Tribolium castaneum: one gene and its partners. The main gene of each other region encodes a partner of the protein of the gene in region 2 in a complex. Links are inferred from orthologs where the notes say so. Each region holds a gene or a part of one and is shown on either strand. Other genes may lie near its edges.

Evidence for each region.
Region 1: dynein regulatory complex subunit 5 (region 2) and dynein regulatory complex protein 8 share a complex: the UniProt entries of both Homo sapiens proteins name them as parts of the nexin-dynein regulatory complex. The link is inferred for Tribolium castaneum from reciprocal best matches to the Homo sapiens genes DRC5 and DRC8.
Region 3: dynein regulatory complex subunit 5 (region 2) and dynein regulatory complex subunit 3 share a complex: the UniProt entries of both Homo sapiens proteins name them as parts of the nexin-dynein regulatory complex. The link is inferred for Tribolium castaneum from reciprocal best matches to the Homo sapiens genes DRC5 and DRC3.

What each region holds. Positions count from the first base shown.
Region 1 is NC_087394.1:7,332,996-7,335,897, reverse strand, and holds dynein regulatory complex protein 8, read right to left. Parts: upstream 1,467-2,902; 5' UTR 1,332-1,466; coding exon 1,301-1,331; intron 1,251-1,300; coding exon 1,013-1,250; intron 967-1,012; coding exon 756-966; intron 707-755; coding exon 572-706; 3' UTR 550-571; downstream 1-549. Other genes in the region: delta(3,5)-Delta(2,4)-dienoyl-CoA isomerase, mitochondrial, read left to right, coding at 418-516. UniProt on the Homo sapiens protein: Component of the nexin-dynein regulatory complex (N-DRC), a key regulator of ciliary/flagellar motility which maintains the alignment and integrity of the distal axoneme and regulates microtubule sliding in motile axonemes.
Region 2 is NC_087397.1:8,819,917-8,823,197, reverse strand, and holds the end of dynein regulatory complex subunit 5, read right to left. Parts: intron 2,066-3,281; coding exon 1,494-2,065; intron 833-1,493; coding exon 599-832; 3' UTR 587-598; downstream 1-586. Other genes in the region: Dark (apoptotic protease-activating factor 1), read left to right, coding at 1-52. UniProt on the Homo sapiens protein: Component of the nexin-dynein regulatory complex (N-DRC) a key regulator of ciliary/flagellar motility which maintains the alignment and integrity of the distal axoneme and regulates microtubule sliding in motile axonemes.
Region 3 is NC_087394.1:30,246,530-30,250,794, reverse strand, and holds dynein regulatory complex subunit 3, read right to left. Parts: upstream 2,821-4,265; 5' UTR 2,446-2,820; coding exon 2,289-2,445; intron 2,238-2,288; coding exon 1,954-2,237; intron 1,907-1,953; coding exon 1,734-1,906; intron 1,685-1,733; coding exon 1,336-1,684; intron 1,289-1,335; coding exon 893-1,288; exon of another isoform or gene 847-892; coding exon 707-846; exon of another isoform or gene 661-706; coding exon 528-660; 3' UTR 436-527; downstream 1-435. Other genes in the region: enoyl-CoA delta isomerase 1, mitochondrial, read left to right, coding at 301-417; TOM1-like protein 2, read left to right, coding at 3,236-3,299. UniProt on the Homo sapiens protein: Component of the nexin-dynein regulatory complex (N-DRC) a key regulator of ciliary/flagellar motility which maintains the alignment and integrity of the distal axoneme and regulates microtubule sliding in motile axonemes.

The DNA of each region.
Region 1 (2,902 bases), on a different chromosome or scaffold from region 2:
AAGCGACCGGTAACATTAATTGTATAAACCCCAAGTAAACTACGCCAATGCACACGCTGTAGCGGACCATTTCATCGATAAATATGAACATCGCGAGAGCGCTACGACGAGTCGGCTGATCGGTTGTGGCCTCATGGCCACCCCCTAAAATTTCCTCACACTGGTAATTACTTACCGGCCTTTAAAAGTTATACCTACCGTATTTTCGAACAGAAGGAGTAACTATTTATCAGTAACAACACAGAAATATTTCTTTATTCTTTATTAATGTTCACTGAAACCACCTAATAAAAGGAAACTTGCCTTAATTAAATAACAAGAAGATAAATTAAGCTTATTTTTCAATGGCGCCCCCATTAGTGCTTGTTTCTTAATCCAGCTGCAAAAAATAATAAATTAATAACACATTACTTACAGGCCTTATGGAATCAGCTAATGCTTCAAAGTGAAGACTTCACAACAGCAACAGTAGCCCAAGCTACCAAACAGAAAGATACAGTTTTCGCAAAATTGTAAATTAAGCAAGAAGATTAAATAATAAACAAGGTGGAAGTTTGGAGTGTTTTATAATTTAAAATTCAGGAACGGACAAATCATGCAGGAACTCGGACAGCCTTCGAGGTGGAGGAGGAGGAGGTGGAGGTGGATTTTCCTCAAGAACACGATCAGCTAACTTATAGATATCTTTCTCTCCTTCAGGTTCGTGCTATTAAAAATAACGTAGTGCAATATTTGCAAAAATAAAAATTAGGTACCATTAGCTGATTGATGTAATATTCATAAGGCACAGTTTGAGTGTGTGGGTCTATGGCTATTTCCAGCATTTCGTCGAGTTCGTCTTGGGTAAAGGGCTCACCATCTTGCGTCATAAGCGTGGAAATGCGTTCCTTTGTTAAAAAACCTTTACCTTCATTATCTAGCACTTGGAACGCTTCTAAAAGTTGCGCGGGACTTGCAGGCTGATACCTGCGAATGAAAATTTCGTTTTTTGGCGATTAAATTTTGGTGATACTTGTGTTCAGTGATGATTTGCGACATGTGGGGTAAAAAATTAGACAAGTGTACACTTCCGGGAGATTCGGGGTTTTCAACAGCCATCAAAATTTCCTGAATTTCTGCCTCAGTGGGGCAACAACCCAAGGCACGTACGATCGTTGCCACTTCTCGAACATCGACTGTTTTGTTACCTGCGTGGTCGAAAACTTCAAACGCGTCGGCAATTCTGCGCTCCAAGTCATTATTAATAGGCACTAAAAAAACGTGTTGGTTTTTTGGAAAAAGACGAGTTTTTGACAAAAACCATGAATTTCTTCTTCTTCGTCTTCCAACATTTTAACAATTTTGATAATCGTTAAGGTTTAAACAGTTGACGGTCTCCTAGCGACAGTTTTGGTTGCTAGGTGATTTGAAGTGTTGGCAGTTGTACCACTTGCATATTTTTTTGGTAAAAATCACCAATAATAATAATTACTCTTAATTAAAAATAACATTAAAAAGTAAAAATGCCATATTTATGTTGCACAAATTACGAATGACAAAAAACAGTGTAAATAAAATAAATACACAAATATTATTCAAATTCTCTTTACCAGGTGATTATTCAAAAATTGCGATTCTTGTCAGGTTGGTGACAAATTTGAAATCTTAATATAACAAGCCACCATGAAGGCCAATAATTCAGTGTTACTAATAGGTTTTTTTGTCACAGTCTTTAATAGTCACTCTGTAGTAGATTCTACTTTGCAGTTTTTCAAGATTTTCCTTTAGTTTCGTTTAAATTTCTTCCAGATTATTCTTTAGCTTTCTGTACTCTTCTTTAGATTATTTTATAAATCCATCTTCTCTAGATTCTTCTTTCAAATCCAAAATTGTTTTATTAACACTTTTACATTTTTTTGACATTATCCAAATTTAAGATTCTTGTCTGCGTCGTTTAAAATTCTTCCAAATTATTTTTTAGTCTGTATTATTATTTTATTTATGTACTTTTTTTTACATTGTTCATAATATTCTTCTAAATTTTTTTGTAGAGGAGACTCTAGGTATCTGTAGATACGTCTTTAGAATTATTTTCTAGACTCTAATCAAAATTATTTTATACACTTTTTTTCAAATATTTTTATCCAAATTTTCTTCTAGATTCTACTCTGTATCTTTCCAAAATTCTTCTACAGTTTCGTATAGAATTTTTCTCTTGAAATAATCTTATTAGGTTATAATCTTCTTTAGGTTACATCTTTAGATTCGGTTATAAATTCTTCTGTAGTTTCCTTTACAATTTTTCCAAATAATTTTTATTAATTCTGTAGTCTTCTCTGGATTTTTTTTTCATATACTTTTCTAATTCTTTTCTTTTCTTTTTTTCCTAAATAAGCCTAATTCTAGATCTGAAATATAGATTCTTCTTTCGATTATTGTATAAATTCACGAATTTTTCACGTTTTTTAAGACAATTATTAGGTCTGCTTTGTTTGAAAATTCCTTTGTACTTTCGTTTCGAATTTTTCTAAATTATTTTTTGGCATTATTTGTTTGTCTACTCTTTTTTAGATTGTTTTTAAAATAAGTCTCAAATATTTTAAAAAATCGTTTCTAAACCTAAAATTGGAACTTTTTAAATTATTTTATAAATCCATCTCCATATACTTCTTTAGAAATTATTTTCTATACTACTCAAAATTATTTTATAAACTCTTTTAATTTTTTTTATCCAAAACCTCTCCTAGATTGCACTCTGCATCTTTTCAAAATTGTCCTACAGTTATGTATAGAATTTTTCTCTCGCAATATATTTTTATTCTTTAGCATTGTTTTTGTACTCTTCTCTAGATTTTTCTTGAGATCCTACTCGAGTTCTTTTTTGAAACCGTTTGTAGATCTGAAATCTGGATTCCTCTTTACA
Region 2 (3,281 bases):
GATCATCGACATCGACGGTAATATCTTCAAAATGGATATTATCGATTCCTGACGATTGTACTTAGTGATATATTGAAAATTGCTCAAAGGTGATAACGTGTAGTGTACATATTATTTTTTATTTCGTTTTTTTGTGTTAAAAATAGTTTTGTATGTTGTCAAAATCGTAGAAATGTTTTAAAATTAGGTGACATTTTCAGCTTTGGTGTGCAATTCTTACGTTGTCATTGTTTATTGTGACTGTTTTTTATTCATACTTATTTTTTATATTCTTTATTTACCTACACTATTTTGGATCGTATATAATTTGTATATAATTTTGTGTCAAGATTCCTAAGAACAAGACTTATTACCATCTATTCTAATTAATTAGTAAAAAAATGTTTCAATATTTTGTATGAAAGGTACATGTATACATTTTGTTCATTTCTAACGCCAATCGTAGTGGAATTAATTACTTTCTTCAGTGTAAATAAATTCCAGTATAGGTGTTACCGTAATGTAGAATCCGTCTGTTGCACAGATTATTTTTCTAGTCTCCTATTTATGTTACATGTGCTATATATTATAAATAAAAACGCAGACATAAAAACGTGTTTTATTCCAAAACACTTCCACTCTCCGCAGTTTTTTGTGTGGACAGAGTGCTGTGAGAAGTTTGTTCCTTTTGTCCCGTTGAAATTTCTTCTTGGACTTGGTTTACTTCTTCCAAACCTAGTCTGTTACGTTTCAAGTATTGTTTGATTTGATGATATTGGTTAGAAGTAATGTCTGTTTCCCGAATATCTAGCCATTCCAAAGTCCTGTTAACAGCCATACCTTCAACAAGAGCCTGAAAATAATACAATTAATGCATCTAGCAGTGATTTATCGACGATAATTAAATGCATCACGGGACCTACTTTGGTAATTGAAGAGCGCAATGTTATTTACTTTAGGCGTCCTTTGTATTCCAAGGGTCGCCTCCAATATTTGTATTTAATTTGACCTAATTGCAGACCTAATTTCAATTAATGCGAGGGTGTGTGAAGCCACCAACTAATAACTTGTAGAACTTGAGTCAGTGGACAATTTAAATTAGTTACACTATCTACATCATATTTTTAAGTGTTGCGAATTGTTGGTTGCATACAAAAACTTTTTTCTTGAATACAATGGAATCTTTATTATCTGGCAGCCAATAAATCATTTGTATTAACTATTTCAAAATTATAAAAACGTCAGCGTTGCATTTTCTTTCAAAGTTAGCTGTTATAGATTATTCATGCACTTCAGGAAAATAATAGCTAATGTAATTTTTACTTTCAATGAAAGGTCTAATCATTAATAACAATTTTACAACTTTATAAAATGCGACGTTTAATTTTTAATTGCTTTTTGTGTTTGAAAATATCTTGTTCTTGAACAGTTAGCACTAACTTTTTTCAAATTACTTATTTTTTTACTTATTTGTCTATCATCGACTTAAATTTTGTGAAAATAACACAACTTACATTACCCCCTTCTTCATCAAACCAATTATTGCTGACATCCAGCCGTTTGAGCGACTTGTTCAGGAGCAACATTTGCCCCGTCCTTATCGGAGCATCATCATCAAACTGGCAACCGGCCATCGAAAATTCCTCGAGTTTGGTCCCTCTGACCAAAGCTCTCATTATTCCCATAGCCCCACCTTCTCCTAATGGATTCAATTTTAAATTTAATTTCTCTAACGAGCACTCGGGTTCCAACAACGCAAAACCTAAACCTTCGCATCCTAACTGGCCAATCTTATTATCACAGAGATTCAGAGACCGTAATTTCGGATGGACACATAATACTTTAGCTATGCAAAGCGCTCCTTGATCCCCGATTAAACAATGAGACAAGTCTAATTCTTCGAGTGTTTCATTTTTGATTAAGCCATGCATGAGGACACGCACGTGTTGGTCCTCTAATCTGCTTCTGTGGATTCGCAAGATACGGAGCGATTTTAAGTAGTGGAGGGATTTGCCCAAGCGTTGACAATCACCCACTGATAATTTAAACATGTGCCAGGTGAACTTGTCACCGACTGCGTTCATACCTTTGGAGAAGCGAATGGAACAAGTGTAAACGAATAGGGAGGCAATTTTTGACATAGTTCGTTATTTTATCAAAAAATTCCAATTTTTGACCTCTTGTAACTGTAAATCACAATTTATGTGAAAATTAAAAAATGGTGGATGCGCCGGGCGTGTTCTAATAATATTTTCGTCAAACGGAAATTATTTCTACGTTTTGATAAGCATTTTTATTTTTATTTTATTTTTAACCCAGTGTTTAAGTATGATTATAACTTTAAAACTCTAGAATTTTTATGTTTAATCCAAGTTTAACCTCTGTGGCGTGGAATTTCCAACAGACATAAAGCACAATAACTTTTATTTCGTAAACTTGAAGTCATGCTATGTAAGAAACAATGTATTAATAAAGATTGTTTATCTGCTCGTGTAATAAGTCCACTTGTGACTTAACCACTCTTGGACTTAACCTTTTTACTCGTAGATAAAGAAAACTTTTTATCGACTCGTATAATTGGATAAACCAATTTATGTAAAAATTCAAAAATGGTGGATGCGCTGGACGAGTCCTAATAATATTTTCATTAACAGAAATTAATTCTACGCTCTGCCAAGCATTTTAATTTTAATTTTATTTTATTTTTAATCAAGTGTTCAAATTTAATTATAACTTTAACAATAAAGATTTTTACGTCTAATCTGAGTTTAACTTCTATGGAGATGAGATTTCCAATAAACCTAAAACACAATAACTTTTACTTCGTAAACTTGAAGTTATGCTGTGGAAAAAACAATGTATTAATAAAGATTGTTCATCTGCTCGTGTAATAATTCCACTCGTGACTTAACCACTCTTGAACTTAATCTTTTTACTCGTATATAAAAAAAAACTTTTTATTAACTCGTTTAATAAGTAACGATAAACCAATTTACGTGAAAACTAAAAAATGGTGGATGCGCCGGACGAGTCCAAATAATATTTTCGTTAACAGAAATTAATTCTACGTTGTGCCAAGCATTTTTATTTTTATTTTATTTTATTTTTAACCTAGTGTTTAAGTATGATTATAACTTTAAAACTCTAGAATTTTTACGTTTAATTCAAGTTTCACCTCTGTGGCGTGGAATTTCCAACAAACATAAAGCACAATAACTTTTATTTCGTAAACTTGAAGTCTTGCTATGTAAGAAACAATGTATTAATAAAGATTGTTTATCTGCTCGTGTAATAAGTCCACT
Region 3 (4,265 bases), on a different chromosome or scaffold from region 2:
GTAATACTTTCGAATTAAGTTTATACTAGAAGTTGAGGGTACTATCTTTCTGCAGAAATTAATCAGTTGGCATTTATCCGTATTTTTTTTAAGTTTCAAAAACTAGGTAGGTAAAATCATTATTAAAAATGCAAGGAAATATAACGAAATGTTTTATTAAGGAAACTCACCAAGGAAACATATTTTTATCTCAACATATTATGTGATGCAATTAGTATTATGATTTTTTTATAGACTTTTTTGGCATTTTTGTATTTAAGGCTCAATTATATATTTTGTAAAAATGAGTTTTTATTTCAGGACCTCACTAACAATCTCCAAAAAGATTACGAATATGTGGCGAATTACGTAGCTCAGGACAGTGTGCAAAAGGGGTTGGAAATGTATCTGCAATCATTGAAGCAGAAACAGAAATAAGGATATTATAAGTTGATATTCTTTTATATAATGAAGTGTAAAATTTATTATCCAAACCAAGAATATGTGTAAGTACTTTTGTAAAAATAAAGTATATTTTACTATCTTACTTATTCCAAGGCTATAACGTCATCCTTGAGATCAGGCGCGTATTCCTTATTCAAATCCTCAAACTCCTGCCTTTGGATTTCAAGAAAGTGGTTAATTTCCAGCACTTTCCCCCTGTTTCGCTTGATCTCATTCCTACAAGTTGTGGATATTTTTCGGGAAAAGTAAAGGCATAACTTACGTGTTTAAATCGTCGATTAAATCATTTAGCCAATCCTTGGCGTTCGAAATGAGAGTGTCTTCTCTCGCATCGATAATCTGCATGTGCATATCGTGACTTGTTGCCAACGCGTTGTGCAGAAGATCCTTATCTGCCATAAGCTGTAATCTCATTGAAATTATTAATAAAGCAAGTGCCGGAAGTTACCGGTTTAAGAACTGCGGGAACTTCGATTTCCTCATTCAAATTGGCATTTGTTTGAAACTTTGTGGCCAAATCGCCGATATTTTCAGCGTAGCTCACTTCCAGCTCTCTGATCTGCGTAAAGAAAGCCTGCGACGATTCAATGAAATTATTAACGAGTTCTGTGATGTTGTGTTCGAAAGTTTGGTTGACTTCTTCCATTTGTTCGTAAAGTTCCAGTTCCAGTTTCATTAGCGCTTTCCAAACTTCGTGCAACATCTCGTCGTACTCCACCACGAAGACGTCGCATTTGTCGATAAACTCGTCGTAATTTATTTCGTTTGAGTTCAGCTGGTTTTGCACGTTTTTGATTTTGAGGAACAGTATTGCCTTCTTCTCCAGGAAGATCTCCATGTGTTTCTACGGACGAAATTTGGGGCTATAAGTAAATTCGAAAGGGGGCGTACAATGCTTTCGTCTTGATTGTCCTTATTTGCGTCTTCGACGCATTTTAAGAACTGGTCCTGTTCGGTTTTGCGCAGGATGTACTGTTGTTGCCCATTTTCGAATATTTGTTTACACAGTTCGATGAAGTTCTCCTCGTACTCGTCGTAGAATTCTTGCGCGTCTTCGCCGATTTTCATCAAGTTCATGCCGTCGGTGTCGTTGGCAAATAAAGAGTCGAACAAATGGCGAGTGTTTAAATACTCCACGAAACTAGAGGCGTGAAGTTCGGCATCGGCCAACTCTTGTTCCTTTATCGCAGTGATTTCCCGTTCCTTCTCCTCTTTCTCCAACAATGCTCGCAGTTTTGCACTAAAAAACTCTCCTACTGATGTTCACTTAAACAATTTTAGCTAGAAACCTGAAAGTTTCGTGTCCAAGTTCCCGTTCCGACTCGTATATTAATTTATATTCGTAGTAAACGAGTTGTGGCAGAAAAACTGCAATAAATAAACGAAAATCTTCATCCTCGGCACAGGGATTCCCCACTAGATTTAACGATTTTAAATTGCCGAATCGTCGCAAATACAGAATCTATAAAATATTTGTGTATTCTAGAACACAATTATTTTTCGTAATACATTGTCCAAGTCGTCAATTTTGTTTCTTCCAATGCTAAAAACTGTTAATTTTGTTAAAGTGTCCATGTTCTCCAAAACCGTGATTTCGTTATCATACAGACTCAGCTTTTCAAGGTTGCGAAGCTCGTCTAAATTTTCGATTTTAGCTATTTTATTGAATGATAAATTTAGTTCAGTTAAGTTCACCAGACTTTCCAAATTTTCGATTTTTTCCAGTAAATTATTGTTGAGATTTAATTTCGTTAAAGATGTCAGCACCCACAAGTGGTCAATTCTTAAGATATCTACGGATAGGGACACAGAAAGTCGGGTTTAAATTTTACAAGAATTGTTACTCAGAAATTCTAAGCGAATCTCGGTGACGTCTTCAAGGGGGATTTTTTCGATCTCCGCCAAGCGACCCGCTTCACCCTTGGGGCCCTGGTCTTTGATACATTTCTCCAGAAGGGCATTGTCTATTACTTTTGGCTCTTTCAATTTACAAGGATTCATTTTTACAAATTTTCATTAGGCACACTAAATCGATACAAATACCTTTTCAAGCATTCTTGAAATTATTGATGTCACAATGACTGTTGTTTAAGTACCTTATTGTTGCTATGGACTTGAGAAATCATGAATCTTTGAGTTTGCCGAGCTTGTGCTCTTGAGTTTTATTATTTTTCATTGTGAAATTATATCAATTACAAAAAACTCTTTACAGGTAGATTATAACGTCTAAGTAGATAAAAATAGCCCAGAGAGGGTTTTTGGAGTAAAAAAATCTTTACAATTAAGAGTTTGCGAAATTGTAGTCGAGGCGAAGCCGAGTGCTGATACCGCAACTTATAAAAAAATACTCAAAATTGTAAAATTACGTTGTATTCTGTATCAAAGAAGAAATGACAACAGCACAGTTATAAATGCAGAAATGCTCGCTTTGGTAGTATATTACGTGAAAGAACGGAAAAATAACATAAAAAAAGAACTTTAAATTGTGAACCGCACCTCGTATAATTTTTGATCACGTGACACATGTCTGACGTCTTTTTATTCAGAAGTTTACACAACTTGGGAATGAAAAGATCAATAAATTAGAAAAACAGTGACTAACACACCAACAAGCGCGTCATGCAGTTTATTTGTTTGAAATAAAATTGTTATTTTCGTCGGAAAATTTTAGATTTAGGAGCGGAAGTATTGCGCAAGCGCCGCAGTGTTTTCTTGTTTTGACAAGTGACAGTGACAGAAGTCAAGTGACAACAAGAAAGTGCAATCGTGAAATTTAATTTAGAAATAAAAAATGTCTTTTTTTGGAACTGCATTAGGAGGAAATCCCTTTTCGACGCCCGTAGGATCGCGAATTGGTGAGTCCCGCTTGGCATTGCCGGATTTCATTTAATTTTTTTCCGTTGTTAAAATCGATTTAATAAAACGTAAATAGAACTAGAAACCGGTGCTGGCACTGTATTTTATTGTTTAGATTACATTGTTTATCACTTTTGTTGGCTGATTCACCTATATCTATTCATCAGACTGTTTAATTACTGTTTCTGGTAATAATTCTAAGGTACTTCGTCATCGCTGTCTGTGTAGGTGTAGGTTTTTGCATTTACATTTTGTTTGTCACAACTACAGCGTGGTTTTTATTTCGTACCAAATTTGTTTATAATTATTTACCAATAGGTGTGACTTATACTACTCTACATAGGCTATCAACTGAGACGTTTTATGCTTTCTTCACGGGGTCCTATGGAAATTTGTCTATTTAAACCTATTATTAAAAAAATACTTTGCGTTATCGGTACAATAATCTCTTATGTATGTCACAACAGTTAGGAATAATACCGCTGTAGTACCCACATTCTTTGATAATTTTATGGGCAAAACGTAGTTGAAATATTTTTCATCGTTGCTTTAAAATAAATATACATATGTATTTATGCTAATTCAGATCAGTTAATTAATTGGAACTATTTTTGCGCGTTCTTAATCACCTTAGAATAAAAATAACAATATAAATTCTTTTCTATCGCCTATTTACATGAATAATTCAAGTGTAAAATAGAGCAACAAGAATTTTCGAAAATGACCAATAACATAGTAATAATAAGTCCATAAACAATCATTCAACAATGTGTTGTGAGACATTGGTAAATATTTAAGTAATGAACCAGACATATTTTTTTCAGATAAAATTTTAAAATGTTTGGCTAACAAAAAACAACGTCCTCTCCAAAACTTTTCTTTACAATTATTATAATTAATTGTGATTACTGCAGCGTGCACCACATTTATTTAAGTGATTAGATTTAATTATTAAAATGGATGTG